Oryctolagus cuniculus: one gene and its partners. The protein of the gene in region 6 interacts with the protein of the main gene of each other region in a pairwise test. Links are inferred from orthologs where the notes say so. Each region holds a gene or a part of one and is shown on either strand. Other genes may lie near its edges. The genes, in order: PPP1R3B, PPP1R7, PPP1R3C, CSRNP2, PPP1R16A, PPP1CB and SH2D4A.

What was found.
Region 1: the proteins of PPP1CB (region 6) and PPP1R3B interact in a two-hybrid assay, tested with the Homo sapiens proteins (2 studies listed by BioGRID and IntAct). The link is inferred for Oryctolagus cuniculus from reciprocal best matches to the Homo sapiens genes PPP1CB and PPP1R3B.
Region 2: the proteins of PPP1CB (region 6) and PPP1R7 interact in binary tests that used the Homo sapiens proteins (3 or more experiments, as listed by UniProt). The link is inferred for Oryctolagus cuniculus from reciprocal best matches to the Homo sapiens genes PPP1CB and PPP1R7.
Region 3: the proteins of PPP1CB (region 6) and PPP1R3C interact in binary tests that used the Homo sapiens proteins (3 or more experiments, as listed by UniProt). The two-hybrid records come from large-scale screens. The link is inferred for Oryctolagus cuniculus from reciprocal best matches to the Homo sapiens genes PPP1CB and PPP1R3C.
Region 4: the proteins of PPP1CB (region 6) and CSRNP2 interact in binary tests that used the Homo sapiens proteins (3 or more experiments, as listed by UniProt). The two-hybrid records come from large-scale screens. The link is inferred for Oryctolagus cuniculus from reciprocal best matches to the Homo sapiens genes PPP1CB and CSRNP2.
Region 5: the proteins of PPP1CB (region 6) and PPP1R16A interact in binary tests that used the Homo sapiens proteins (3 or more experiments, as listed by UniProt). The two-hybrid records come from large-scale screens. The link is inferred for Oryctolagus cuniculus from reciprocal best matches to the Homo sapiens genes PPP1CB and PPP1R16A.
Region 7: the proteins of PPP1CB (region 6) and SH2D4A interact in binary tests that used the Homo sapiens proteins (3 or more experiments, as listed by UniProt). The two-hybrid records come from large-scale screens. The link is inferred for Oryctolagus cuniculus from reciprocal best matches to the Homo sapiens genes PPP1CB and SH2D4A.

Annotation. Positions count from the first base shown.
Region 1 is NC_091433.1:78,798,559-78,802,779, forward strand, and holds the start of PPP1R3B (protein phosphatase 1 regulatory subunit 3B), read right to left. Parts: upstream 2,801-4,221; 5' UTR 2,577-2,800; intron 2,034-2,576; exon of another isoform or gene 1,877-2,033; intron 1-1,876. UniProt on the Homo sapiens protein: Acts as a glycogen-targeting subunit for phosphatase PP1. Facilitates interaction of the PP1 with enzymes of the glycogen metabolism and regulates its activity.
Region 2 is NC_091434.1:516,581-520,080, forward strand, and holds part of PPP1R7 (protein phosphatase 1 regulatory subunit 7), read right to left. Parts: intron 3,047-3,500; coding exon 2,884-3,046; intron 1,538-2,883; coding exon 1,421-1,537; intron 1-1,420. UniProt on the Homo sapiens protein: Regulatory subunit of protein phosphatase 1.
Region 3 is NC_091446.1:38,806,694-38,810,947, forward strand, and holds the start of PPP1R3C (protein phosphatase 1 regulatory subunit 3C), read left to right. Parts: upstream 1-1,454; 5' UTR 1,455-1,728; coding exon 1,729-2,108; intron 2,109-4,071; coding exon 4,072-4,254.
Region 4 is NC_091442.1:54,540,235-54,543,734, forward strand, and holds the end of CSRNP2 (cysteine/serine-rich nuclear protein 2), read right to left. Parts: coding exon 2,799-3,500; 3' UTR 397-2,798; downstream 1-396. UniProt on the Homo sapiens protein: Binds to the consensus sequence 5'-AGAGTG-3' and has transcriptional activator activity. May play a role in apoptosis.
Region 5 is NC_091437.1:168,177,306-168,181,374, forward strand, and holds the start of PPP1R16A (protein phosphatase 1 regulatory subunit 16A), read left to right. Parts: upstream 1-1,269; 5' UTR 1,270-1,426; intron 1,427-4,069. UniProt on the Homo sapiens protein: Inhibits protein phosphatase 1 activity toward phosphorylase, myosin light chain and myosin substrates.
Region 6 is NC_091433.1:174,168,179-174,171,678, reverse strand, and holds part of PPP1CB (serine/threonine-protein phosphatase PP1-beta catalytic subunit), read left to right. Parts: intron 1-2,997; coding exon 2,998-3,149; intron 3,150-3,500. UniProt on the Homo sapiens protein: Protein phosphatase that associates with over 200 regulatory proteins to form highly specific holoenzymes which dephosphorylate hundreds of biological targets.
Region 7 is NC_091439.1:3,497,812-3,501,987, forward strand, and holds the start of SH2D4A (SH2 domain-containing protein 4A), read right to left. Parts: upstream 2,801-4,176; 5' UTR 2,644-2,800; intron 1-2,643. UniProt on the Homo sapiens protein: Inhibits estrogen-induced cell proliferation by competing with PLCG for binding to ESR1, blocking the effect of estrogen on PLCG and repressing estrogen-induced proliferation. May play a role in T-cell development and function.

The DNA of each region.
Region 1 (4,221 bases), about 95 Mb from region 6:
TGTGTGCCACTGTAACGTCAGGTGAGGACACTGGCCCTGGCGGCCTCAGTCTCGGCTATGCCGTGACTGCCTTGCCTGTCCTCGTAACAGACTCCAACTTTATCAACCCAATCGTCCCCCAAGAATCAGTGCACCAAAGTGCCCATTTGGAGTGGGCTGTCTGTCTGCTCAAGTCTTTCCCCGGGACTGGGCGGGGATGACTACCACCCTTAGCAGCTGAGATGTGCAAAGTAATACTTTTTTATGTCCCTGAGAGGACAGCACCTGGACAGGTGCTTCATTTGCAGATGGCATGAAAATGACCAGTTCCAACACAGGAGTGCCAGGCTGTACGTGCGGCCTCCTCTCCTGTTATACTCTCTGGCTGCTCCAGCCCTTTCCCTCTGCCAGGCCAAGGACTATAAATCCCCACGGTTGGCAAGGGACAAACACCAGAGCCAGGAGATACGGACACATACTTGAACCGCAGTATGGGACGTGGGATCTGAGTGGCAGCTGCCAGACGGGCACATGAGAGCAACAGTAGCTGTTCCCCGGGCCACGCTGTGTCCCCAGCCACTGAGCTTTCACGTGGACACCTCCGAGGTCAGCTGTGCCTGGCAAGGGCCCGGGCCATGCCCCAGAGTAGACGCCAGTGTTCACAGCCCAGACTCTAACATTCCATGAACACGAGAGTTCTGCATAAAGGCCTCCCATGATCTGCGAGTGACACGTAGTAACACACCTTTCCTGGCCAGCTGGCCAGGGCGAGGCACGGCGGTGACTTTTCTTACAAAAACTGCCGACTGTACGGGCAGTTACCCCGTGACCTCCATTCACAGCACAGCCACTGACCGCTCTGATTGTGCATTTTATAGGAAGCAAATCTTCTTTGTATTGGGGCCGAGGCATTTTTCCTTCCATTCTCTCTCTCCCTCTCTCTTTCTCTCTTTTGATAAGAAAAACCAGATGCATGAACAACTCACGGGCAGCACACAAATGCATCGGACTACATTAGGAAAGCATCCACAAGCAGGTCATAGACACAGACATGGCTATTTACCCCTCCCCCGCTTCACCAATCTCTTCCCTCCCCAGAGGTCTGGCTGATCCAGCAGAGATAAAGTTCACTTTGCTTCCTTTTGTCCTCAGGCCAGCGGGCCTTGTCCCCAGCCTTCAAAGCCCCTCGGACCCCTCCTCACCATCATACAAAGCACACTGCAGATGAGTATTTGTGACCCAGGCTGCAGGTCACAGGAAAGAGCTAAGTTAAAAGGGAACAGAGCTGGCCATCCAAAAATGGCCACAGGGAGGCCCAGAGACAGCTCTGTCCTAACAAGGCGTCCACCCAGCTGTGCTGCTAGGACAAGTCGCTGGCTTCTTCCAGGTCCCGCCTAGGCGGCCAACGAGGTCCGACACTTGTCTTCCCACCGGCTTCTCCCTGCATACCTCAACTTGACTTCGGGTTCAGTCCTCCCGCTGGCTTCACTCTGGTCTTGGCTCCCGGACAACTCTGCCAGATGAACCACTTCCTCCTCTCCTCCTCCTCTCCCCCAGCCGAAACCATACCTCTCTCTTCTCCCGGACCCTGTGCCCCGCAGGGAGGCTGCCCACACACCCCACTCACGCCAGCTGCCCCACACGCCCCCAAGGCCAGCCTTCCCCCAACTTCTCCCCTCCCGCGCAGCCCCCAACTCCTCCGCTCCCCTTCTGGGTCTGCACCTACTCTTTCGCAGCGACTGGCCTCTCCACACCCCCTTCTCTGAGCTCAACAGGGGCCTGGCGTCAGACCAGTGCGTCCACACTGCCGGGGGCCCACAAGCCCCTCTGCGACTCTGCCCCCCTCACCTCAGCCCAGCAGAGCCGCACTGGGCCCTCCTGCTCGCGCTGCACCCACCTTTCGGGCCGCGGAGAAGCCCCCTCCCCAGGTGTGCTCGCTGCATCCGAGGGCCGGGAGGGAGGTGACAGGGGCGGCCGCCGCCACCCAACTACGTGAGCGTCTCTGTGTCCCGGAGGCAGGGCCGACGTGACCGGCAGGGGGAGGAAGACGACGAGGAGGAGGAGGAGCCCGACTTATCACACCGGGGCGGGGCGGGGCGAGCCGGCGGGGCTGCGCGGGGCACGAGCACCCCCGCGCGGGCCGCCTGGCCGCGGCCTCCCCGCACAGCCCGGGTCTGGGGCTCGGAGGACACCCTACGTCCCGCCGCCCTCGGGGACCGAGACACCACCTAGTGCGACAACTTCTGTGCGCAAGTCCATTTGGGTGTGGAGACGGCTCGCTCTCGTGGTTCTCACTTTTCGGGGAAACTGAGGCGCGCGCAGAGGCCAAGCGGCTGGCTCTTGCCCGCCACACCCCTACTCTGCAGCGAGAAAGGGGCCATTTGCGAGCCGGGGACAACAGCGGGGGAGGGAACCTGCAGTCCCGGGCCAGCCCCAGGGCCGCCCGTTGCGGTGGGACCTGTAGCTCGGTGGAACACGGGTCCCTAACGCGCCCGCTCCACGTGGGGGCAACAGTTTGTTCCAGCCCGTCTGGGGCGTCCCTGTGCGGGTGTGCACGTACGAGTCGGACTGTGGGCGCGGGGGTGGGAGGTACGTACCGGATACAGCTCGTAAGTCCACAGGGCAGCCACGCAGGGCGTGACAGGGGCAGCGATCGCGACGGCAGGAGCCGGGGCCAGGGTCTGCGCCCTCCGCGGGCAGCCGCGTCCCTGCGCGGGCGCGAGCTGCCCGCTCACCTCCTCTCTCCCGCCCCCGACGTCGTCGCCCAGGACTCGGGCTCCCGCGGCCCCAGCTGCTCCCTTTAACTTTCTGGTCGCTCGCTCCCCAACTCGAGGTTTTCCATCCCAGACCCCCTTTCACGTGAACGCCCCCCGCAGCCAATGAGCGCGCCCGGGACACGAGCCGCCGACCAATAGCCGCGGCCCGGCGGGGAAGCAGCGCTCAGCCACGTGATCTGCAGCGTGCCCGGAGTGATAGGGCTGGAGTCCAGGGGCTGCGAAGGGGCGGTGGGTCACCGCTTCCCCAGGAGCCCGAGGCCGGGCGCCAGGGGGCGGAGGCAGGTTGGTGCACCCGAGCGCCTCGGACGCGGGCGGCATGCAAAGTTTTCCGTGCCCAGGCCAAGTGCTAGCCAAACCCAGGAGCGCTGCGTGCCTGGCAGGCAGCTGGGGTGGCTTCCTGCTGCCTCGCCGGCCCCTCAGCCACCTGACCCTTCCAGCTGCGTAGCTCTCAGGGGACTGTTAACCTTCCAGTCGCCTGCAGAGCCGGGAGGGGGCCCTGAGAGGGGTCATCAAGGCTACTCCCCTGCACTCTACAGGGACCCTCCTCAGGAATCCGTGTCCTAAGTTGCTTCCGGTGTGTGGGAAGCAGGTGCTGGCCCTTGCCTTGTGCCCATCGTACCGGGGTGTTGCCAGAAAGGATGACAGCAGATTCCTTGGAAGGTGGTATTGGGGTGGGGGGACCACCACCCATAGTACCCACAGAGTACCCCAGATGTGGCCGAGGGGTTCTCAGGGGGAATGAGAGGGGGAGCATCAAAAAGTTCATGGAAATTAGAATTAAAATGCAAATGTATTTTGGTGGAAAAAGTTTTGAAATCCATGCATAGGAGTCTGCAAAAAGTTCATGAATATGCATATTCTGAGGAATATATGTCTGGATTTAAATTTTTAAAAGATTTATTTATTTGAAAGGCAGAGTGCCGGAGAGGTAATGGGAGAGAGAGAGAGAGAGAGAGAGAGAGAGAGAATCTTCCATCCCTAAATGCTCACAACAGTCCTGGGCCAGGTCAAGCCAAAGTCAGGAGCCAAGAACTCCATCCAAGTCTCCCCAGTACTTGGGTGGCAGGGTCTCTTTTTATATATATATATATTTTATTATAAACACTTTTATTTAGTAAATATAATTTTCCAAAGTACAGTTATGGATTACAATGGCTTCCCCCACCATAACTTCCCTCTCACCCGCAACCCTCCCATCTCCCACTCCCTCTCCCCTTCCATTCACATCAAGATTCATTTTCAATTCTCTTTATATACAGAAGATCTAGTTAGTATGTATTAAGTAAAGCTTTCATCAGTTTGGGTGGCGGGTCTCAAGGACTTGGGCACCCATCTGCTGCTTCCCAGGCCCATTAGCAGCAGGAGGCTGCATTGCAAGTATGGAGTAGCCTGGACTAGGACTGGGCACTCCAATGTGAGATGTCACTGCTCTTCATGTGAGGTCCCGTCATATTTTACAAGAGAA
Region 2 (3,500 bases), on a different chromosome or scaffold from region 6:
TGTGTATGTGGTTTACGTGAAGTGCCTGTGTATGAGTGGAGGGGCATGAATGAGGTGTGTACATGAGTTGTATGCACACAAAGTACGTGTGTATGAAGTGTGTGAAGTGTGGGGCCAGCACTGCGGTGTAGTAGGTTAAGCCACTGCCTGTGACACCAGCATCCCATATGGGCATGGGTTCAAGTCCTATATTTATTTATTTATTTTCTTTAAAGATTTATTTCATTTATTTGAAAGTCAGAGTTACACAGAGAGAAGAGAGGCAGAGAGAGAGAGAGCGAGAGAGAGAGGTCTTCCATCTGTTGGTTCACTCCCCAGATGGCTGCCAACAGTTGGAGCTGCGCTGATCTGAAGCCAGGAGCCAGGAGCTTCTTCCAGGTCTCCCACGCGGGTGCAGGGGCCCAAGGACTTGGGCCACATTCTACTGCTTTCCCAGGCCACAGCAGAGAGCTGGATCGGAAGAGGAGCAGCCGGGACTAGAACTGGCGTCCATATGAGATGCTGGCACCACAGGTGGAGGATTAACCTACTGTGCCACAGCACCGGCCCCCCATTGCTCCACTTCTGACCCAGCTCTTCCCACGGCATCTGGGAAAGCAGTGGAAGATGGCCCAAGTCCTTGGGCCCCTGCACCCATGTGGGAGACCGGGATGAAACTCCTGACTCCTGGCTTTGGCCTGGCCCTTGAGGGCATTTGGGGAGTGAACCAGCAGATGGAAGACCTCTCTTTCGCTCTCTGTGTCTCTCTAACTCTGAATCCTACATGGGTGCTGGTTCGATTCTCAGCTGCTTCACTTCTGATCCCACTCTGTTATGGCCTGGAAAGCAGTGGAAGATGGTCCAAGTGCTTGGGCCCCCGCACCTGCGTGGGAGGCTCAGTAGAAGCTCCTGGCTTCTCCCTGGCTGTTGCAGCGGTGTGGGACGTGAACCAGCAGATGGAAAATCTCCCTTTATTTCTCTCTGTCTCCTTCTCTAACTCTGCCTTTCAAATAAATAAAACAAATGCTTACCAAAAACGTGTGTGAACTGTGTACAAAAAGTGTGTGACAGGAAGTGTGTGTATGTGAAGTGTATGTGTATACAGTGGAAGTGTGTATACAAAGCATGTGTGTGCATGAAGTATGTGAAGTCTGCATGTGTGTGAACTATATGTGAAGTCTGTGTGTGAACTGTATGTGAACCATGTGAGAACAGGGTGTGAAGTCTGTGTGAATGTGTGTGTGAAGTCTGAGTGTGAAGTCTGTGTGTGAACCATGTGAGAACAGGGTGTGAAGTCTGTGTGAATGTGTGTGTGTGTGAAGTCTGTGGGATCTAAGGTCTCAGTCACCAACAGGGAAGCAAAGCACTGCTGGTGGGACACAGTGAGGTCCACAATGGGCTGGGGCCACAGGTCTGGCCTGCAGGAAGTGTGGAGCCGTACCTGCATGCTGAGGACGGTCAGGTTGGTAAGTGCGTCCAGGTTCTGCAGTTTAGTGATTTTGTTTTTCCCCAAAAACAGACTTTCCAGATTGGTTAATGTGTCGATATTTTCAATTGCCTGTGAAAAGGACAGAGCAGTGGTGAGCAAGGAGACCTCCAAGCTCACCAGAGAGGGAAGATGCCTGGGCCATATCTGCTCTGCAGACTTCCCCGCGAACCCATGCATGAAAGAACAGGGTGAGGGCACGGGCACGGGCACGGGCACAGGAGAGTGGTGAAGGATCCTGACCCCCACGTGGTCAGAGCTCTGGGTGAGGATACAGCCTGAGAGCCCCTGGCACACAGGACTTCGCAGGCCCAGCGGGTTCTGTGCTCACAATAGCCTTGGCCTTCACGGGGGGCTCTGACCCTAGGACTTCAGGATCCGGAGTCCACTCTGCACTGTTCCCAGGCTGCGCACTGCTGCCCCCGCTGCAGCCACACGTCCTGCCAGCACCCGTGCACCTCCACCTCCCAAGCCAGGACCAGGCTGTCCCGTCTGCTTCCCCCGGTGCCTGGGCACTGTGCATAGCTGAGTTTCCCTCTGGTCAGCTCACCACACTCTAGAACAAGCCGCACGTTTCACCTGACAATAACCACACTGAGCTCACACGCACCAAGTGGGGACTCCCACAGGCAGGGGCAGGCCGATTTCTGAGTCACTTTCTCCTGGGAGTTCTTCAGCGAGACACTTGGCGAAACGCTGACCCCTGGGCTGCTCAAACCAACCTCCCTTGGTCTGCACCTGCCTGGCCATCAGGGTGAGGCATCCTCTGATGCTTCCAGAGCCTTGTGGAGATGGCTGGGAGTGCTGGCCTCAGCTGGGCAAGCAGAGGCTCTTGGCCCGTCCGTGCCATCAGGGCGCCAGGCGTGGGCTTGCGTGGACCTCTGGCAACAGAATTCCTTGTCCCAGCCCCAGGCAAGTCCCTTGCCTCCTCTCCCCCACGACGGTCCCTCTGTGACCTGTCCAGGATTCCCGACAGATGCCCGGGGCTGTTCACAGTTGTCAAAGACACTGCCCGCTCTGTCTACGGACACCACAGTGCTCCTCCCAGTCTCAAGGTCAGGTGGACCCTGGAGAGGTGCTGACCCTACCCTGCTGGGGGATGCGTCCCAGGCACACAGCTGTCTGGGCAGGAGGGGCCCACCCAGCACTGTGTTCTGGGCAGCTCGGCATGGACGTCAGGCAGTGCCTGCTGGGACCTGTGTGCAGGAGCCAGGCTGGGCCACCTAGTGTGGAAACAGGATTTATCCACACTGACTTCCTATCAGTGTTTTCCTCAAGACACTAATCCTCCTTTGCTGGAAAAATCCACAGCGTGACAAGCCACAGAGCCAACCACACGCGCTGCCTGCAGCCCTGTTCAGCCCACACAGCCTGGGGGAGGGACAGCAGCCTGTGCTGTCCGTGCCACCAGCACCTACCCGGATGCGGTTTGAGCCCAGCTCCAGCATCTGCAGCTGATGCAGGGTGCCGATGTTCTCAATCTTATTAATTTTATTGTTGACCAAGAAGAGTTTTTTCAGTCGTGTCAATTTGTCAATCCCTTCGATGTTTCTCAGCAGATTAAAAGAAATATCTAGAATTCTGGGAACAAGCAAAACAATTCTTCTTTAATGAGCAGAGGTTATACAGAGCTCTGAGTTTAACTAGAGAGAAGGGGTAGCCGTCTGGGTGCAGTCTCTGTGGGGTGGAACCTGACTGTGGCCCTGCTCCTGCCTGGTGCGCACCAGCGTGGTGGTCCCTCAGGACTCTAGAGAGCCGGGGGGCAGCCCACGGGTCCCGGGACTGCATCTGGCAGAGTTCCACTGCAGGACCCCACACCTGCTCTGCACGTGGAAGGGGCCTGAGTCAAAACAAACAGAACTCCGGGGCCACAGGGGCCCAGGGGCAGCTGTGTTCGGGTCCCAGCTCCTGTGTTTTTACAATTATCACTTATTCTTTTATTTTTAGAATTATCATTTACTCTTTTATTGTCTAAAAAAAGGATTCATGGGGTGAGCATCTGTCCGCATCCCATCCTGGAATGCCTGGGCTCAAC
Region 3 (4,254 bases), on a different chromosome or scaffold from region 6:
TGTGGCGTTAATCAACACCAGGGGGCAGGAGAGAAAGTGGAGTGAAAGGAAACAAGTACAAAAGGATGTTGTGAATAATGGCTGAGGTATGTGAGAGCTTCCAGCACAGTCCTTGTGCCTGGCAGGAGGGCTATACATGTTGAACTATACTTGTTGCACATTTTAAAATCATTTAAAAATTACTTCTTAGAGAAGTCATCCATGTTCACTGTAGGAATTTTTAAAAATACAGAGAAGCTAAACATCAAAGACATTTTTAGTTACTCATAAGTTCACCACCTCAATAAAAGTACGGATAACATTTTAGTGAAGCATATTTTATTTACTCTGCATGCACATCTCTCTCCCAAAATGAGATCACAAAAAATTCTTACAATTTTACATTTCCCCATAACATTAGCTGGTAACATTCACCTTTTAGCTCAAGATATGATTTTGGGCAGAGGAAAGGACTACCCAGGCTTCCAGTTTGGGCTCCGGCCTAACCAACCCCTGGCAAACAGCTTAGCGTCTCTAGGTTTTAGGTTCCTCCTCTGTGAAATAGGTTGATAACAACGTTACCACCCATGTGACCTATGGCACCTTCCCCCTGCACGGTTTTTCCGGCCAGGGTAATTAGTGGAAGAGATTCTGGTGCAGTGGGGCTCGCTCTGGCATCAGCCAGCTCCACCTGTGAGGTCCTGGGTAGGTCTCGTGCCTCCTCAGTGCCTCAGTCTTCTTTTCTCTAAAGTGGAGTGAGACACACTACCTGGGGTTGTTGTGAGACATCTGTAGACAGAGCAGGGTCTGGCCCACAGTCCAGAACCATTCTGCTGCCCCTGTCTCCCACCGGAGGAAACCGAGACCACGGTGACCAGATCCACGGAGCTAGGAAATGCCACACCCAAAGCCCGGGCCCTGTCAGCTGGTTTTGACTGAGCTAAAAGGCTCGAATCCCTGCCCCTCACTGGTTGTTACATTTAAAAAATGAAGCCCAAACCTGAAGCATCTTTCCCAATTTCTTCTTCCACATTTTAGTAACTCCACTTTAACCGTTCCACTGCTGACTGTTCTTTAAAAGACAGCGTGATCTTTTTTGTACATTTTGACTGCTGGATATTTAAGTAGAGCAGAACTTAGATACAAGTTTTATAAAGACAGTTTATACTTAGAAACTTAATTTCAAGGTTGGGACGAATGGTCAAAAACCGCCCCCAACCAGCACAAAATAAGGAAAGCCCAGAGAAAGGCACTGGTGCTGGGAGGGCCGTGAATGTTCGCGTGACATTTTAGCACTGCTAAAGGACGTCAGAACCCAGTCCAGGGAGTTGGGTTCACCACTGGCTTTGGCTGGCCATGTGAGTGAAAAAGGCCATTTCATTTCTGTCTATAGTTTTTTCTCCCAGGGAGAAAACTGAAGAATAGATCAACTTACAAATTGCCTTTTAATTAAATGCTGTCTTATCGTTTTATAGGATCTGCGTGTTGAGAGGGTGGTTCCTGGCACCCACTATGATGCATTCGTGGATTCACCCTAAGCGAAACACACACACACACACACACACTCAGCCAAACTTCTCCCCGCGGAGGCTAAGGTGCGCTAGCACACCAAGCAACGAACAATGCAAACGTTGAAGACGTCGGGAGCCAGCCACAACTTGCTGTGCTCAGATTCAGCCGTGCACACACCCGCAGACGGATTCCCGAGGCGCTGGCTGGTGAGCTGGGCGCCGCCTCCCGGCTCCTTGCATGACTTGCCTGCACACCCCCTCGCCCAGGGTTCGCGTTACGCCGCTCAGTCCAGCTGGCCTAGGAGTCCCCAAATCCCGGGGCTCCCAGCTGGCGCTGGGCACATTCAGCCCCGCAGCTATCGCGTCCTTGGGGAGAGGGCTCGAGCTGCAGCTGGGCGCTGGTTGGTCACGCCAGCGGGCCCGCGGCCCGGCGATTGGTCCAAGGGATCCGTTCACGTGGTTCCGAGCAGATAAGCTGTCTCTCTGGCGCCTGACCCGCAATCTGCGGGAGCGACCTGCGAGGGGGCACTGCTGGGAGCTGCAGGGCGAAAGTGCGCAGGCAGCGGGGTGCAGGCTTTCGCGGTCAGCCCCGCCTCTCTGCCTCATGAGCTGCACCAGGTATGTTGGCTGCGACTCTGCAACCCCCGAGTCAGGCGAAACGTGCAGATGCATGCAGACTGGAATGGGGTGGGGGCGTTTTCGTTCTGTCGTTTCTGCAGATAGAGACCCCAGAGGAGGGCAAGTTGACAGATTGCTAGATTGAATCCGGCACTCAGGGGGCCTGGGAGGTACGGAAATTTGCAGTGTGTGTCTTAAGCAGAACGTATGTTGGCAATCAGCATCCTTAACCAGAAACTGTTTAAACCTGAGTCAGCTATAGTTCCATCTGCCTCACTGATAAGACTTCTCTTTTGGTCCTGCAAGTCTGTTCCTCGGACGCGGGCAGCCGGGCTTGGGGGAACAGACCTCTCATCTTGTTGGTTAGATAGTTTAGTTTGGTGCAAAACTACTGGACGCTTTCACAATCTTATCACGGTTCGCCATAGCAAACTCGGTCTCAGAGTTGGAGCAAACTATTATTTTTAACTCTTGGCCAGGACTGAAAATTCCAAGGAAATAGCCCAGTACTAAAACTGTCTTTCCATAAATGCAAAAGACAACAAACAAACCCAGGCTCCCATAAACTACTTTTAATAGCTTGCCCAGACATAACTTAGCAGAAGCCTTCTCTAAAAATCTAGCCTGTTCATTATTATTAGACCCAGAGTGATAGCTTTAGCTTTCATTTGTTTAAGTCTGCAGGTCACCCAGAAAAATCCCAGCGCTGATAAAGTGAGTTCTGCGAGTGCTCCTTATTATTCATTTTGTGAGAATGAGCGCTTGCTTGGTGCTTGGAGTTGCTCTAATGAGCAATGAAGGCAGACTTGGAAATATTGTGCACAGGATACACATAGCTCTGAATCCATAAGGCTGAAATACGGGGGAACTCTCAATCCCATGCCCTTGGCCAAATGTAATGTGAACCAAAGACCAGAAAAGCCTTCTTGAAGGATTCTTCTTGGTTTATTGCTGAGCATAGTTATGTTAAAAATTTTTCATAGCTTTAATGTCTTTCCGCTTATAAATGTCCATCACCAAAACATTAGAAAATATCCAAAAAAGTACAAAGACAAAAATAATTGTGAAATCCTATCACCTAGAGATAATTACTAACTTTTTAGTTTGTTTTCTATAAAGTTTTAAAATATTTATAAGTTCAAATACAATATATAGTTTTTAAAAAGCCCAATTTTCAGGTCATTAGTTTTCCCACTTAAATGCGGACTTGCCGTGGGCATGTTTCCATAGGAAATACAGGTTATGCAAATTTTTTCTTTAAGTGCCTGAACTGCTGACTTGTTTCAGTCAGTTACTTCTGAAACATGAGGAATAACATGACAAAGTGCAAAGGTAACTTTCTGCCTTCCATTCTCCCTAGCCTTGTCACTCTCAAAACCACTGCATACAAATTTTATTAATGAATCTTTTTTCTTTCCAAGTGGCTTACCTTTCCAAAGCAGCATAAATCATTGAGCAGCAAAATAAGCAAAGGCAGCGGAGGGACTGGATCTGAGGCTTCCAAACCTCTCTCATTGTTAGACCCACCTGGAAGGCTTTCTGAGCATCCCTGCTTCCTTTGCTCCATCCACAGGGGTTCTAAGTATTCAAATTAAGAAGAAAGAAAACCAACCGATTCTCAAGGTCACAGTGACTAGCCAGGGTTGAGAACCATCTCAGAGCCCTGGTTCTTAAAGTTGTGTAGAGATCATTACGTTTCCAACACTTCTGTTTTGCAGAAGGAGAAACAGAGACCCCTCCCACCCCTAAAAAGTTAAGCAGTTAACCCGCAGCCCTGCAGTCAGCCGACAGTGAAGGTGGACATAGGATGCAGGTGGGCTCACCTAACACTGCCGCCTCCTGCTCCATAGAACAGCACCTGCCTGATCCTTACTACATGGCTGGAATTCAGTCTGCACAAAAATAGTACTTATGAAGTAAGGACCCAGTGCAGGTGATGACCCCTCTCCCTTTTACATTCCAGAATGATCCAGGTCTTAGATCCACGTCCTTTGACAAGCTCCGTCATGCCAGTGGATGTGGCCATGAGCCTTTGCTTGGCCCATTCGCCCCCTCTGAAGAGTTTTCTGGGTCCTTACAATGACTTTCAACGAAGACATTTTGTGAATAAACTGAAGCCTCTGAAACCGTGTCTCAACATAAAGCA
Region 4 (3,500 bases), on a different chromosome or scaffold from region 6:
TTAACTAAAGGGATTGGATTGGTTGAACAGGACACTTCTGGTGGGATGGAAGCCGATCTTTTTGTTGGACGTTTGGAGGTGGTAACCAGGAATGGAGAGTTTCATCCATCTTTAAAGTTAATGGAACGAGAAAAGGGACCCAAGGGTAGGAACCGCATAGACAGGGCCCAGCTCCGTCAGCAGGAGCCAGGCCTACTCATGTATGTGCGCGCAAAGCAAGCCAAGCTCTGGATGCTCCAAAGAGAATGTTCTATTTTTTCCATCACAGAATGTTGCTATTGTTAACATTAATTCCTAACTGACCTAATTAGTTTTATATACAAAACTGGCAAAGTGTTCTTTGCCTAACAGGTAACAGAATTGTGGCCTGTCAAGATAAAGAATAACACACCATTCTTTTGAATATTTCTTTAATATTACATTTAAATATTCTCTTTAAATACAGCATTATCACAATGTAAGGAACCTAAAAGGCAAAAAAAAAAAAAAAAAGTTTTCAAAGAACCAGACAAGCTTTGGATTCACATTGAAAACACTGTGTACAGTATGTGAGAAAGGAAAGTGGAGAATGATGAGCCGCAGTAATCAGGGTCATTTACCTAGACCTAGGCTGAGGGGGACTGAAGCGCGCTCTCTGGTCAGAGGCCTGCCTTTCCTAGCAGCCATGAGCTAGAACCCCGTCCAACTCAGGTAGCACCAGAAATGAAATGGACCACGTGGTAGAAAGGCCCCTTGCTTGACAAGACGGTTTATGCTAAATGTTCATGTTTAGCATTCAGAAGTCTGGGATCAGTGTGCATCAGGAAAGCGGAGTGAAAGAGACTGAGAGCAGCAAAGCACAGTTGCTCAATTATCATGGGGGAGGGGAGTGTCGGCAAGGAGAGTAACTACAGATTCATCGTCCTGGCTTGAGCCCAGCGGCGGTTGTTAGAGCAGCTGGGATCTGCTTCCTAGATGAAGCTGCAGCCTTCCTGAGAGCTCGCACTCCCCTTTCAACACCACACGCAAGAAAGATTCTTCTCCCCAAAGACCAGATTCTCGCTCCAGCTCTGCCTTAGCTCCCAGGGCACCAGTGTGAGGTGGGGAACGCAGCTCAGCTGGGGGTGTTCTCCGGCAGACCCCTAGCTCTGTTTGGTGAGGCTCAGACTTGGGGAGAGAAGGACCTAGGTGCCTAATTAAGAACTCCCCTCCAAACAAAACCAAGCAAACTCAGGAATGCACGGGAAGCGACGTGAGTCACACACAGATCTGTGCTGTGTACGAAGCCTTTCAGGCTCAGATCAGAGATCAGAGGTTTTCATAGGTGAGACGCTGCTGCAACACACATGAAGGCTGCTTTAACACAGCTGGGCCCTGACAGCCACAGAAAAAGGCTTTATGAGAAGCTGAGTAGGAATAGTTCTCTCTCCCATCAGAAAAAAAAAAAAAAAAAAAAGGTTGCTAAACTACAGCAGAAGTAAAGCATGGTGTGTGAAGGATGCTAGCAAAAACAATGTTTTGCTCCAGAGGCCAAGATAACTGCTACTAGACGGAAATCAGTGGTGTTCAGTGGAGCAGGTCTCGGAACCTAAGCTGGGCCCCAACCCCCCGACAGAGGTGAGAAGTGGAAGTGAGTCCGTTCTGTAGACTGCAAAGGTTAGGCTCAGAACCCGAGTCCTCTGGGCCCTGGGGGTTGCACGTGGCACTTGAGGATGGATTTGGCTTTGATTTTCAGTGGAGAGGTCCATTAAACACCTGCAGTTCTGGGCACTGACCGGAATCTAAACAGCTCTAACCCTGTATATCCAAGATACAGGAAAAAAGGACCAAAACCAGTTAGTGACCTCAGATTGCCTACGTTCTACTAAATCCCAGATCTGCCAACGCTGGGGGCAGGGGGAGGGCCAGGGCGAAAAAGCAAGCATGACACAATAAAGTCAACTTCCCAGGCGGCCACCTGTGCCGGCTGCCTCCTCTGGACGTGGCCAGTGCGCCGCACAGGCCTCTCGCGGGAGGGCGAGCCCCAGCCTGCAGCTGCCTGGCAGAGCAGGGGAGACTCGGGCTCATGGTGCCACATCCCCAGCCAGTCTAGCTTTCTTCTTCAAAGGATGAAGAAAGAAAGAAAGGGGAAAAAAAAAAAAAAGACAAATCGACAAGTTTAACTCTAGTACCTAGGAACAAATGAAAGAAACAATTCAAGTTACAGACCAGGAATCTCCAGTGTGGGGACCAGGTCGGAGAACAAGGAACATGTCAAATATTAACTTATGTACCAAAGAGGGAGTCGGGGAAGGTAGGTTACAGTTTTAGAAACCCTAGAGGTTTTGTACAGAAGCACACACCCTTCCGCCCCCTCCTGTCTAGATTCGGCCCCGACTCCTCCAATCGTGCTGCAACACGCCGAGGCGGGCTAGCGGACGGGCCCTTGCCAGCAGTGAGCTTGTGCCCTGCCTGGAGCTCCAGAGAGGAGTGGTCCCCAAGCTCGTGCTCTGGTCCCTACGTGAAGAACAGCTGCTTGCATTACCCAGCTTCTCTGGGACATCCTACTTCTTTGTTCCAGTGGCCCAGAAAGCTCAGTATTGGGCGCAGTGCAGCCTCTGCCCCAAGGCTCTAGCCCGGGTCGAGCTGGGGCTGGTCTCCTTGGTACTGCTTCTCTTTTAAAAAATATGTATACAAACAATCCTTTCCCTCCCGTCTCCCCAAAGACCCCAATAAAATAACATGGGAGCAGCAGCCGCTTCTGCAGTTTTGTTTTGAAATGACGTTCGATAAAATAAGGGAATAAATAGAGTGGGGAAGAGGCCGTCTCCATCTCCACGTCACACGGCCAGAGGGAGCTCGAGGGTGGCCTCTTCGGGGGGCCGGTCCTCACTCGGCTGAGAGGTCTCCTCCGCCCCACAGCCGCCCTCACTGTCTGAGCGGAAGGGAAGGTTCGAGGGGGACCAGGAAGGGCGGAAGTCTTCACTGCCGGGCTCCTCGGGGCTGCAGTCTTCGGGCAGGAGCGCTTCCAGGGCGGCTGTCTTCCCCATCTCGGGTCTGCAGGGGGCAGGCGGGTCTGGGGGACGAGCCGCCAGCGAGGTAAGTGGGACAGAGAAGACACTCAGATCCTTCTCCCTGGGGAAAGGCGCCGGGCCTTCTTCCGGACCAGGCTCTCCCTTCACGGCCAACACTGGCCTCTGCTCCACCTGGTAGTAGACCAGGGGCCCACTGTTCAAGTACGATGGGTTGTTCATGTTCACCGGAGAGGCGGCAGGATGGTCTGAATTCTCGGCAAAACACAGCACGGAGGAGCCTGGGGGCAGCTGGGCCTGGATGAGGATGGGGGCTGTAAGGCCTGGGCACAGCTCTTCGGGAACCGCCAGAGGCTCCCCCAGGATGCACACGCCCAGGCTCTCGATGCTCGAGTCCAGGCTGGCGCTGGAGCCGCTGGAGTCTTCCTCCGCCTTGAGCCGCTCCAGTTCCTCCGCGCTCTGCAGGTGCATCACTGCCGTCTCGTTCTCTGCAATGAAGTCCTGGAAGCC
Region 5 (4,069 bases), on a different chromosome or scaffold from region 6:
CCTGTGTGCCCACCCCGTGGGGAGCAGGGGCTGAGTGTGCCCTGGGGGTGCCTCACGGCTCCTGCCGGGCCCTTCATGGGGGTCAGCCCTTCCCCGGCCATGGCCGACTGGCTGGCTGCCCCCTCGGCACTCCTGTTGGGGCCCTCTGCCTCCTGTTTCTTGTGCTCCACGTAGGGGGTTAGTGCCTGTGGCTTCTGAACCCGCTATGTCAGCAGAGATGTTCTCTCTTTGATTTGAAAAGCAGACACAAAGGGACACGTTTCATCTGCTGGCTTACTCCCCGGTCGGTTGGACAGGTGAGGCTGGGCCAGGAGAGGCCAGGAGCCACAGGGAGGTGGCAGGAACCCAGCCGCCAGCGCCATGCGGCACCTGGGGCCTCCAGGGAGCGCCTTAGGAAGCTGGGGTGGAAAGTGGGGGCTCTCCAACACGGCACGTGCGTGTCCCCAGTGAGAGCTAACCACTGCTCTAAAGCCTGCCCCTCCTTACTGGCCTTTTTTAAAATTATTTTTAAGGACTGATTTATTTATTGGAAAGGCAGGTACACAGACACACACGTCCTCCACCTGCTGGCTCACTCCCCCAGATGTCCACAGTGGCGGGGCTGCTCCCCGGGAGCTCCATCCAGGTCTGCTCCGTGGGTGCAGGGGTCCAGGCACTCGGCCATCTTGTGCTGCTTTCCCCGGGACACTGTCAGGGAGCGGGATCCCCGTGGGGTGAGGCTCCCGTGGGACGCCCTGGGGCCTCCCTTGCTGCCAGGATGATCCCGAGTGCCGGCGGGGTTCCCAGTGCCGGCCTGGACCTCTCTCTCTTGCACATGCTGCTTCCTCCACCCGCGCAAGCAGGCACGTGCGGGGAACTCCCGCCTTCCTCGGGACCCCACACGCGGCGGCGGGACACCCATACCCCATGCCGGAGTTCCTAGCTCCGGCCCCCGACCCAGCTTCCTGCAGGTGCGCACCCCGTGCAGCCGCAGTGATGGGTCCCCGCCACCCACGTGGGAGACCCGGGAGGCTTTGCTCGGGCCTCCGTCTCTTGCTGGCTCTGTGGGTCTCTCAAAGAAAATGAAATCGAGTAAGCTAAAAACATCTAAAAAGTCCAGCTCACATGGATGATCACCCGACCGGAGGGCCGGGCCACAGCGACACCATCGACCCACGCCTGGCCCTCGCCAGTCCCGGGGCACGCCCCGCCCCTCCCGAGCGCGCCTCCCGCCCCGCCCCGCCCCGCCCCGCCCCGGCGGCCCAGGCCCCGCCCCGCCTCCCATGGGGCACCGCGGCTTCCGGCTCTGGGCCGCGCGGGCCGGAAGTGTAGCGTTGCCATGGCGAAGGCCGGGCGCGGGGCCCGCCCCCGCGGCACCGAGGAGAGCGAGCTGCTGACCGCCCTGCGAGGGAGATGAGACGCGGGCAGCTGCCGGCGCGAGAGCGAGGTGAGGCGCAGAGCTCCGGGACCTGCGGCGGCACGGGGCCGAGGGCCAGGGATCGGGGGCCGGGCGGGGCCCCTGCCCGGGCAGGAGGCGGCCGAGCCGGACCCAGGTGGGGGCGCTGGGGAGATGGGTCTGGCGGGCCCCGCCTGTGGAGGCCGCCGCGAGGGCGCTGCTTCTGTCCGAGTGTGAGGTGGGTCTGGGCCCTCGGTCGTGGAGGTCAGCTGGGCTTGCCTTGCCCGGACTTGCTGTGCCTGCGGCCTGCGGCCGGCCCTGTGGGCCGGAGCCGGGGCGTGGGCGCAGAGGGGAGGTGGCGCGAGCCAGCGCCGGCCCCGCGCTCTCCGTCGCCTCTGAGTCTTACCTGGACGCGGGGCCGCGCGCTCTGGCGGGGCAGGGTCCTGCCCGCAGCACCTGGCCCTCTGGTGCCACCCTGCCCGCAGCACCCTGGCCCTCTGGTGCCACCCTGCCCGCAGCACCTGGCCCTCTGGTACCACCCTGCCCGCAGCACCCTGGCCCTCTGGTGCCGCCCTGCCCGCAGCACCTGGCCCTCTGGCGCCGCCCTGCCCGCAGCACCCTGGCCCTCTGGCGCCGCCCTGCCCGCAGCACCTGGCCCTCTGGTGCCACCCTGCCCGCAGCACCTGGCCCACTGGTGCCGCCCTGCCCGCAGCACCTGGCCCTCTGGTGCCGCCCTGCCCGCAGCACCTGGCCCTCTGGTACCGCCCTGCCCGCAGCACCCTGGCCCTCTGGTGCCACCCTGCCCGCAGCACCTGGCCCACTGGTGCCACCCTGCCCGCAGCACCCTGGCCCTCTGGTGCCGCCCTGCCCGCAGCACCTGGCCCACTGGTGCCGCCCTGCCCGCAGCACCCTAACCCTCTGGTGCCACCCTGCCCGCAGCACCCTGGCCCTCTGGTGCCACCCTGCCCGCAGCACCTGGCCCTCTTGTGCCGCCCTGCCCGCAGCACCTGGCCCTCTGGTGCCACCCTGCCCGCAGCACCTGGCCCTCTGGTGCCGCCCTGCCCGCAGCACCTGGCCCTCTGGTGCCACCCTGCCCGCAGCACCTGGCCCTCTTGTGCCGCCCTGCCCGCAGCACCTGGCCCACTGGTGCCACCCTGCCCGCAGCACCTGGCCCTCTGGTGCCACCCTGCCCGCAGCACCTGGCCCACTGGTGCCACCCTGCCCGCAGCACCCTGGCCCTCTGGTGCCGCCCTGCCCGCAGCACCTGGCCCTCTGGTGCCGCCCTGCCCGCAGCACCTGGCCCTCTGGTGCCGCCCTGCCCGCAGCACCCTGGCCCTCTGGTGCCGCCCTGCCCGCAGCACCTGGCCCTCTGGTGCCGCCCTGCCCGCAGCACCTGGCCCTCTGGTGCCGCCCTGCCCGCAGCACTCTGGCCCTCTGGCGCCGCCCTGCCCGCAGCACCCTGGCCCTCTGGTACCACCTTGCCCGCAGCACCTGGCCCTCTGGTGCCACCCTGCCCGCAGCACCTGGCCCTCTGGTGCCCATCAGAGAGTCGGCGCTGCCCTGGCCCAGCGTGGGCCCGTTTCCTGAGGGGGCTGCCTGTGGGGACCTCCCGGTCCCTCACTGTGACGGGTGTCCAGGGCTCCCAGGTGTCAGCTGCCTGCCCCTGCCTCAGGCCCCCTGCCCAGTCTTGCTCAGAGCTGGGGTGGAGCGGGGAGTTCCTCCCCTCCGCCGATGCCCCGCTGGACGTCCACTCTGCCGGCTTTGATTGGCCCGTCTTGGCCTCATCCCTCACCTGTCCCCACAGGGCTGCCTGGGCCAGCAGACGCCTAGCTAGGGGACGTGGGCATCTTTGGGCCGCACCTTGGGCTCTGTCCCAGGGACTCCGGGAGCTCTGGGCGGCGTCGCGGGCCACTTCCTGTGATGTCTGCACTGCAGGACCCTCAGGAAGCTCCATCTCGGGTGACCCCCTGCCTGTGGCCAGAGCAAGATGTCTGGCTGTTTGTTTACCTCCAGGGACTTTGGGAGCCTCCCCTGAGCGTCCCTGGCCCAGCTGTGTGCAGGTGGGGCGAGAGCCTGGCCAGGTACAGGCCGGCCCTGTGTCCCGGTCTCCTGGGAGCTGCTCTGCACACTCAGCAGGTGGTCAGCTGCTGGCTGTCCTGGGGTCAGCACTGGGTGAGGTCTGAGGGTCAGCAGGGGAGCCCGCAGTAAAGGGCTCGTGGCCCAGCGAGTACAGCCTCTGCCTGCGGCGCGGGTTCCAGTCCCGGCTGCTCCGCTTCTGATCCAGCTCCCTGCTAGTGGCCTGGGAAAGCAGCAGCAGATGGCCCATGTGGGAGACCTGGAAGAAGCTCCTGGCTTCGGCCTGGCCCAGCCCCAGCCACTGCGGTCACTGGGGAGTCTGTCTCTCCTCCTCTCTAACTCTGCCTTTCAAATAAACTTTTAAAAAACTGTATATATTTATAAGAATGTTGAAATAGGGTGCAGAGACATGAGTGACAGGAGCCGCCACGTGCCCTCGGGTACTAGAAGGTGACGGGAGGAACAGGTGATGACGATGGCACCAAGTAGGCAGACGGGAAAAGTTTTCAGCTTTGCCGGTCAGGTGGCTTCCTCAGAAGACCACCTCGCGTTGCGTTGTGGAGCGCAGCATGGCAGGCGATACAGACGAGCTGTTTCAACAAAACTGCAGTGTTTGCG
Region 6 (3,500 bases):
TATAAATTAATGTAATCTTTGAAACAGTAGCCAAATTAATTCAATGCTTGTTCTTTAAACATTGAATCTTGACTCTGAAATTCTTATCTGACTCCATTAAGGTTGCGGAATTCCAGATTGTTGTTGCTGTTATTATTTTATATTGTATGCATCCACACTCAAAAATCTTGAAGCCAGCTACTTTGTGGTTTTACAGGTTGTCACTGAAATTATAGAGTCTTAGTATCTTGGTGCCTTTTTTTTGTTTTTAAAGATTTATTTGAAAGGCAGAGTGTTGCTGAGAGACAGGGAGAGAGAGAACATTTTCCTGTGTGCTGGTTCACTCTCCCCAGATGATTTCCAAGGCTGGGATGTCTAGGCTGAAGCTAGGAGTTAAAAACTCCATCCCGGTGGGTCTCTCACGTGAGTGACAGAGGCTTAAATACTTGATCTGTCCTCTGCTGCTTTCCCAAGACCATCAGTAGGGAGCAGATGGGAAATAGAGCAGCCAGAGCTCAAACCAGCCCTCTGTTATAGGACGCCAGCATTGTAGGCAGCAGCTTAGCTCACTGCCATGCTGGCCGCAGTATCTTGGCTTTCTGCTCACTGCTTTCATCTCAAGGATCAGACTGGAAAGTGGGAAGCATTAAAGAGTGCTGGAGATATGTGAAGAGCTTCAACCAGAAAGGGCTTATGAATTGAGACTACATATTCCAGTGGATTTTTTGTGTTGGCGAATTCCTTAAAACATAATAGCAGGAGTTTAGGAAATATCGATGATGGAAATTTAATACATTGCCATTAATTCTGTTGTATTTTAGATAATTCTCCTATGGAGATCTTTCAGGATAAGCTGTAATACGGAGTTTGATGCAGTGGTTAAGACATCACCCAGGATGCCCATGTTCCTTATTCAAGTGCCTGGGTTCGAGTCCTGACCCTGCTTCTGATTTCAGCTTCCTGCTAAGTTGCACTCTGGGAGGCAGCCGATGATGGTCTTGGGGCTTGGATCCTGCCACCCATGTGGTAGACCCAAATTGAGTTCCCAGCTCCTGGCTTTAGCCTGGACTAGCCCCAGCTGTTTTGGGCATTTGAAGAGTAAACCAACAGATGAAAGATAATCTGTTTGTCTTTCAAATAAATATAACTAAATTTTTTTAAGAATAAAAGATAATAAATTTTAAAAATCTTAAACCATCTCATTGTATTAAAAACACCTTCCCTGGGGCAGACATTTGGTCCAATGGTTAAAAACTTCATTAGCCATTGTAATTCTTAAAAAATTATTTAATATCACCATTTCATTGTCCACTCCTGATGTCACTACAGTTCAACTTTTACTTAAGTATCCTACCCTGAACCATTGAATCTACTTTCATTAAGGTCTGATAATTTACTATAATTGGCCTATATTTGTTCTTTGTCTTACTCCATATATTTGTGGCATTGAAACTTAACCATTTCCAACTTCTAGACAATTCTTTATCCTTTTAGGAAATCTTTGCCAATTGTTTTTGTTGTTGTTTATTTTGATCATTCCTCCTCACTATTTCTTTGCTCATTCCCCGGTCTTCTCACTTTATGGTTTCAAGGTGGTTTGAATTCTAAGATTTCCATTACTCTTTATCTATTGAAGATGCTAAGATAAGTATTTCTAGTTCTGACCTCTTTTTTTTATTTATTTATTTAAAGATTTTTATTTATTTTATTTGAGAGGTAGAGTTATAGACCGTGAGAGAGAGAGAGAGAGAGAAAGGTCTTCTGTCCATTGGTTCACTCCCCAAATGGCCACAATGGCCGGAGCTGCGCTGATCTGAAGCCAGGACCCAGGAGCTTCTTCCCAGTCTCCCACATGGGTGCAGGGGCCCAAGGACTTGGGCCGTCTTCTGCTGCTTTCCCAGGCCATAGCAGAGAGCTGGGTTGGAAGAGGAGCAGCCGGGACTAGAACCAGCACCCATGTGGGATGCCAGCACCGCAGGCGGAGGATTAACCTACTACGCCACTGTGCCAGTCCCAGTTCTGACCTCTTTTGACCAAAACATTACTAAAGTTCAGGATTAGTCTGATTTTGTTCCACCATACTTTCCTTTTAAATCCTTCAGATCTAAGGAGAAGATATTTTTCTTTCCTCAGATTGGTCCGTAGGTTAAATGCAATCCCAGTGATATTACAGTTGAGTTTTCATGGACTTAAGCAAGCTGGTTCTGAACTTTATGTGGAAGAACAAAGGAGTCAAAATAACCAAGACAGTCCTGAAGAGAGAAAAATGTGGGGATACTAGCCCCATGAGCTTTTTATAAAGACTTACTGAAAACCTCTGGTGTGTTATGGGCTCGGGGATAAATAGTCTAGTGGAGTAGATTATAGTGCTCAGTAACAGCGTAACTCCATAAGGAAGGGATGAAAAATGCTACAGGGGCCAGCACTGTGGCTCAGCAAGTTAAAGCTGTGGCCTGCAGTGCTAGAGCCCCAGCTGCTCCACTTCTAACCCAGCTCCCTACAGTTGTGCCTGGGAAGGCAAGTGAGGTTGGCCCAAGCCCTTAGGCTCTTGCACTCAATGGGAGACCCAGATGAAGCTCCCAGCTTACGCCTGGCACAGCCCCAGTCTTTGCGGCCATTTGGGGAGTGAACCAGCAGATGGAAGATCTCTGTGTCTCTCCTTCTCTCTCTTACTGCCTTTCAGATAATAAATAAATAAATGAATATCCTGAAAAAAGAAAAAAAATGCTACTGAGTCAATCATTTATTCGTGTGTAAAAATTCAGAAAAAATGAACTTAGAGCATGTCGTACAGATTTCCTCTCTGTAGGACTGGTTCCAGTACTTCTCTTAAGAGGCCAGGCAGTCTTGTTGAATGAGTTAGCTAGGCTGAGATACTTGGGGGCAAATAATTACCATTGTTTATTGAAGGGTAAGAGGGCAGGAAAAGAGATGTGATGTAGATGTCCTTTAGTCGAAGTTTTTGTGTTTTATTTTTCCTTTTTTTCTTTTTCATTGCTGTATTTCTGTTCTTTAAAGGTTTGCTCTGTGATTTACTGTGGTCTGACCCAGACAAGGACGTGCAAGGCTGGGGAGAAAATGACCGTGGTGTTTCCTTCACTTTTGGCGCTGATGTAGTCAGTAAATTTCTGAATCGTCATGATTTAGACCTGATTTGTCGAGCTCATCAGGTATGAACTATAAGAGTTGTGGATAGCTTAATATTTGTTAACTTCACACAGTCCCTCTCATTTTATTTTTGAGACATCTGAATGACTTGTGTAAAGAAGGCAGTGGGAGAGACAAAGCCATTACCTAGATTGTACCATTGTAAATGCTTTGGAGCCAGCGTTGTGGCATTGTGGGTAAAGCCTCAGCCTTCAAAGCCGGCATCCCAAATGGGTGCCAGTTCAAGTTCCGGCTGCTCCACTTTTGATCCAGCTCCCTGCTAATGTCCTGGGAAAAGCTGAGGAAGATGGCCCAGGTGCTTGGGTCCCTACTACCCACATAGGAGACCTGAAAGAAGTTCCTGGCTCCTGGGA
Region 7 (4,176 bases), on a different chromosome or scaffold from region 6:
AAATATATCTGAGAGAGACAGAGAGAGAGAGAGAGGATACTCCTCCTCCAGGAAGGATTGGGCTGGCTCCAAGGCACTGGATTCCAGTGCTGGAGAGTGCACGGTCCAGTGCATGGTTCAGAACCCAGAGGGAAGACCTCTTGATATCCAGCCACCGACCTGCAGAGGGCAGAGCGCCAGCAGCCCAAGGGGTGAGGCTCCTGCTCTGACCATTTTGAATGGGGGCAGCCCTATCAAAAGGACGGCTAGACCCTCAGAACGAAAAGCCTGGAAGTGTAAGATTCACATTCTCTCTCCCCCCTCCCCCTGACACACCCCACCCTGTCCTCTTGATGGCAGAGCTACCGGGCACCCTGCATGCACTGACTCACTTCATCTGCCGGGAACCCATCACCAACCCCTTCTCAGGGAGGAAGCTGGGCCCAGGTCACCGGCTGGGAGGTGCAGAGCCGGGCCATCTGGCAGGAAAGTCTGCCCCCCGCTAGACTGCCCAACACAGGGGCCTGGTTTCTGAATTCATCTCGGCGAACCGTCAGGACACCATCCGGGCCTGCGGCAAGGGAAACGATGACCTAAAGGGGCCTAAGACGGGTGTCGCTCAGGGGCCGAAGCCCCACCCCTGTGGACAGCAGATGAGCTTTAGGGGAGAAGGGATCAGGTTTGAAAACACCCCATGGGGTCAAGCCTCCGCCTGCAGTGCGGGCATCCCATATGGGAGCCGGTTTGCATCCCGGCCGCTCCACTTCCGATCCAGCTCTCTGTGGTGGCCTGGGAAAGCAGTAGAAGATGGCCCACGTTCTTGGGCCCCTGCACCCATGTGGGAGACCTGGAAGAAGCTCCTGGCTCCTGGCTTCAGATGGGCACAACTCTGGCCACTGAGGCCATTTGGGGAATGAACCAGCAGATGGAAGACCTCTCTCTCTAATGTCTCTCTGAAACTCTGCCTCTCAAATAAATAAACAATCTTAAAAGAAAGAAAGAAAACCCGCACCCAGGAGAGGCAGCATGGACAGCGCTGTCAGCCATGCGCTCCTTGTCTGTGCTGGAGGATTTCCACCTGCCTGCACTGTCTGCCCTGCTCGCTCCCCAGCCGCTGGTTTTCCACACGCGCTGGGAGCCACAGGGCAGCCGGTGCAGCCCCTCTCTCGTGTGCAGAACTCAGGGCACGTCTGCGATGGCATCAAGCTCTTTCCATGTTTATGTGGCCTGGCTTTGCCTCCGGCCACCCACGTGGGTTTCCAGCAGGACCGTCAACCAGCCCACCCTCAGGGAAGGCGCCGACTTCCAGCTGAGGGTGAGCTGTTCATTCACACCAGCGTGAAGCAGCTTCACCCCACCAGGCTTGGGATGCCCACGGTGTGCTCACAGAAACCCACAGGGACCCCTGCCTGGCCTCCCAACCCTCCTTCTCCCGAGCTGGAGGACGTGGGGCTTCCTGGGACTCAGTTTCCCCAACCATGCAGTGTGCATGAATCTGCACCATGTAGCATGACCGAGCGTAAGGCTACAAAGCCAGGGAGAACCAGGGTACAGGAAACTGAATGGAGAAATCCACTCAGCAGGGGTTTTTCCCCGGGCACAAACGTTGCCAGCACTGATCCACACCCGAATGGCTCTCCTGGTCTGATAACACCAAGTGCAGGAAACTTCCGGCTGCTCAGGACCCAATAAAACGGAACTTCCCTCTTGAAAGGCAGGGGTGACCAGCCAGGAGCCCACCCCCTCGCTGCTGATTCCCGAAACCAGTTTCTTCAGGGCTTCTGGGCGGATCTGACCCGACTCTCACACTTTTCTCCCCAGTCACTGTTGTAGAACACAACCCTGCTTTTAACGACTCAGACCTAAACAAACCCAAAGACCTGGAAGACCGCTGAAATCCGCGTGGGCACGACATTGAGGTGGGCACGATTTACCTCTCACGTTAAAAATGCGGATGACTGTTTCCAAACAGCTCGCCCTGTTTTTTTTAGATCTTATTCAAGTTATCTCACCCCACCACCACCACCTGCAAAAGGGCTGTTTTTAAGGCTCACCGGGATTGCCAGGGCCGCCAGCACATTTTGGTAAAGTGTGTGAAGAGCCACCATTCTCGGGAATTTGAAATGATCGCATCCACGAATTTGCCCAGAAACACCCACTTGCGCGCCAGGTGGCTGCCCGCCTAATGTCTTTCCACGTATTTACTCTTTAAATTCACCTCACAAGTGCAAAGTAAGTGTGCCCAAGTCACTCCCATTCAACAAGCAGCCAAAAGCCACTTGGGGGAGGGGGTAAGGGCAAAGAGGGTGCAGCGCCCACGGCTTCTCTGAGACCCCCGGGAAGGCAGCGGCGACCCACACAGAAAACCTGCAAGGCGCCCCCTCGAGGGAGCACGGGGACAGCAGCTGGGGGTGCTGGGCGCCGCGACCCCACGTGAGGGCGTCCCGGGAAAGTTAGGGGCGCAGAGGGTCCCCATGGCCCTGCCCCTGAGGGTGACCCCGCCGGAAGCCCCGGACTCCCCTGTGCGCCCTCGGGCCCTCCCTCTCAGGGCGCCCCGGGACGCCGCGCACCCGGCCGCCGGCTCCGTCAGACACCGGACACCGGACACCCTACACCGCACGACCCCAGCCCCACGCGCCGGCCACCCCCGCCCTCAGCACCCACCTGTGCGCGGCCCTGGGCTCGCCGGCGCGCACGCCACGTCCAGCAGGGCGGCCCCGGGAGCTGTGGTGGAGGCGCGGGCTGGCGCGCGCGAGACGCCGAGGCCCGGGCGGAGCCCAGCTCCCGCCCCGCCGCCGCCGCCGCCGCGCCCACAGGCCGCTGAGTGACGGCCGGGCCGGGCGGTGCGCGAGGGCTCGGCCGCGGGCCTTCCCGCGCACGCACGCCGCGGCGCGGGGCCTGCAGGGGGCGGCCCTGCTCAGCCCCCACGGCCGGGTCCCGCGCGCCCCGCGACTCGCCGCTCTGCCTTGTCTCTTCTCGGGCACTTGTGCGGACAGGTGTGGCTCGGCGGGACGGGAAAGGAATGGTGGAGGCGACAGGGGCAGCAAAGGAAAGAAGCCAGGAGGAAGCTAGCACGGGTGGGGTGGCCGTGGTCTACAGAGTTGTGTGCGGGGAGAGCGGCGGCCTCCCCCGGAGAGGTGTGGGCAAAGGTGGCCGTGAGCCCCGGGTGTGCTCCACGCAGCCTGCCTGGCCCGCTCAGGAAGGCCAGGGAAGCAAGGTCCCCTTGCTACCCCACCCCATGCCCAGCTGCAGAAGGTGCTCACAGTTAGTGGGAGCTTGGAGCCGCAGGTTAGAGAACCAGGCATTGGCAGGAAACAACACCTGGGGATGCAGTGGTCATTCTAGCAGATAGAATTTCTGCTTTAAGGTGCTGACTGTGCAAACACATTGGCTCACATTCGTTCACACCACACACTGTAAACTCCAGCTTCTAACCGCGTCACACCTAAGCTATGGGTTTTGCCTCCTGTGTCACCTGGCCTCCAAGTCCCAATGATCCCCATCTCCTGCGACCCACAGTCTTGTGTAGCTTCCTTCCCATGAGGTCCCAGAGTTGCTCCTGGTGACCCACAGAAATGCAAAAGTAAGGATGCATTACTTCCAGGATTATACTAAAAAAACACCTGTGGCTTTTTAAATACTTGTTTATTTGAAAGGCATAGGGGGAGGGAGCGAGAGGGAATGTGGTGGGGAAGGAGAGATCTTCCATTTGCTGGTTTACTTACTCCCCAGTGGCTGGAGTTGGGTCAGGCTGAAGCCAGGAGCCTATACCTCCATCTGAGTCTCCCAAATGGAGCCACCCAAGTACTTGAGGGCCATCTTCTGCTGCTTTCCCAGGCGCATTAACAGGCAGCTGGATCAGAAGCGGAGCTCTGATACGGGATGCTGGCATCTCAGGCGGTGACTGCCACTGAGCCACAACACTGGCCCCACCTATAGCTTCTGTCTTTTTTTTTTTTTTTTTTTTTTTTTTTTTTTTTTTTTTTGACAGGCAGAGTGGACAGTGAGAGAGGGAGAGACAAAGAAAAAGGTCTTCCTCTTCCGTTGGTTCACCCCCAATGGCCACTGCAGCCAGCATGCTGCGGCCAGCACACTGCGCTGATCCGAAGCCAGAAGCCAGGTGCTTCCTCCTGGTCTCCCATGGGGTGCAGGGCCCAAGCACCTGGGCCACCCTCCACTGCACTCCCGAGCCACAGC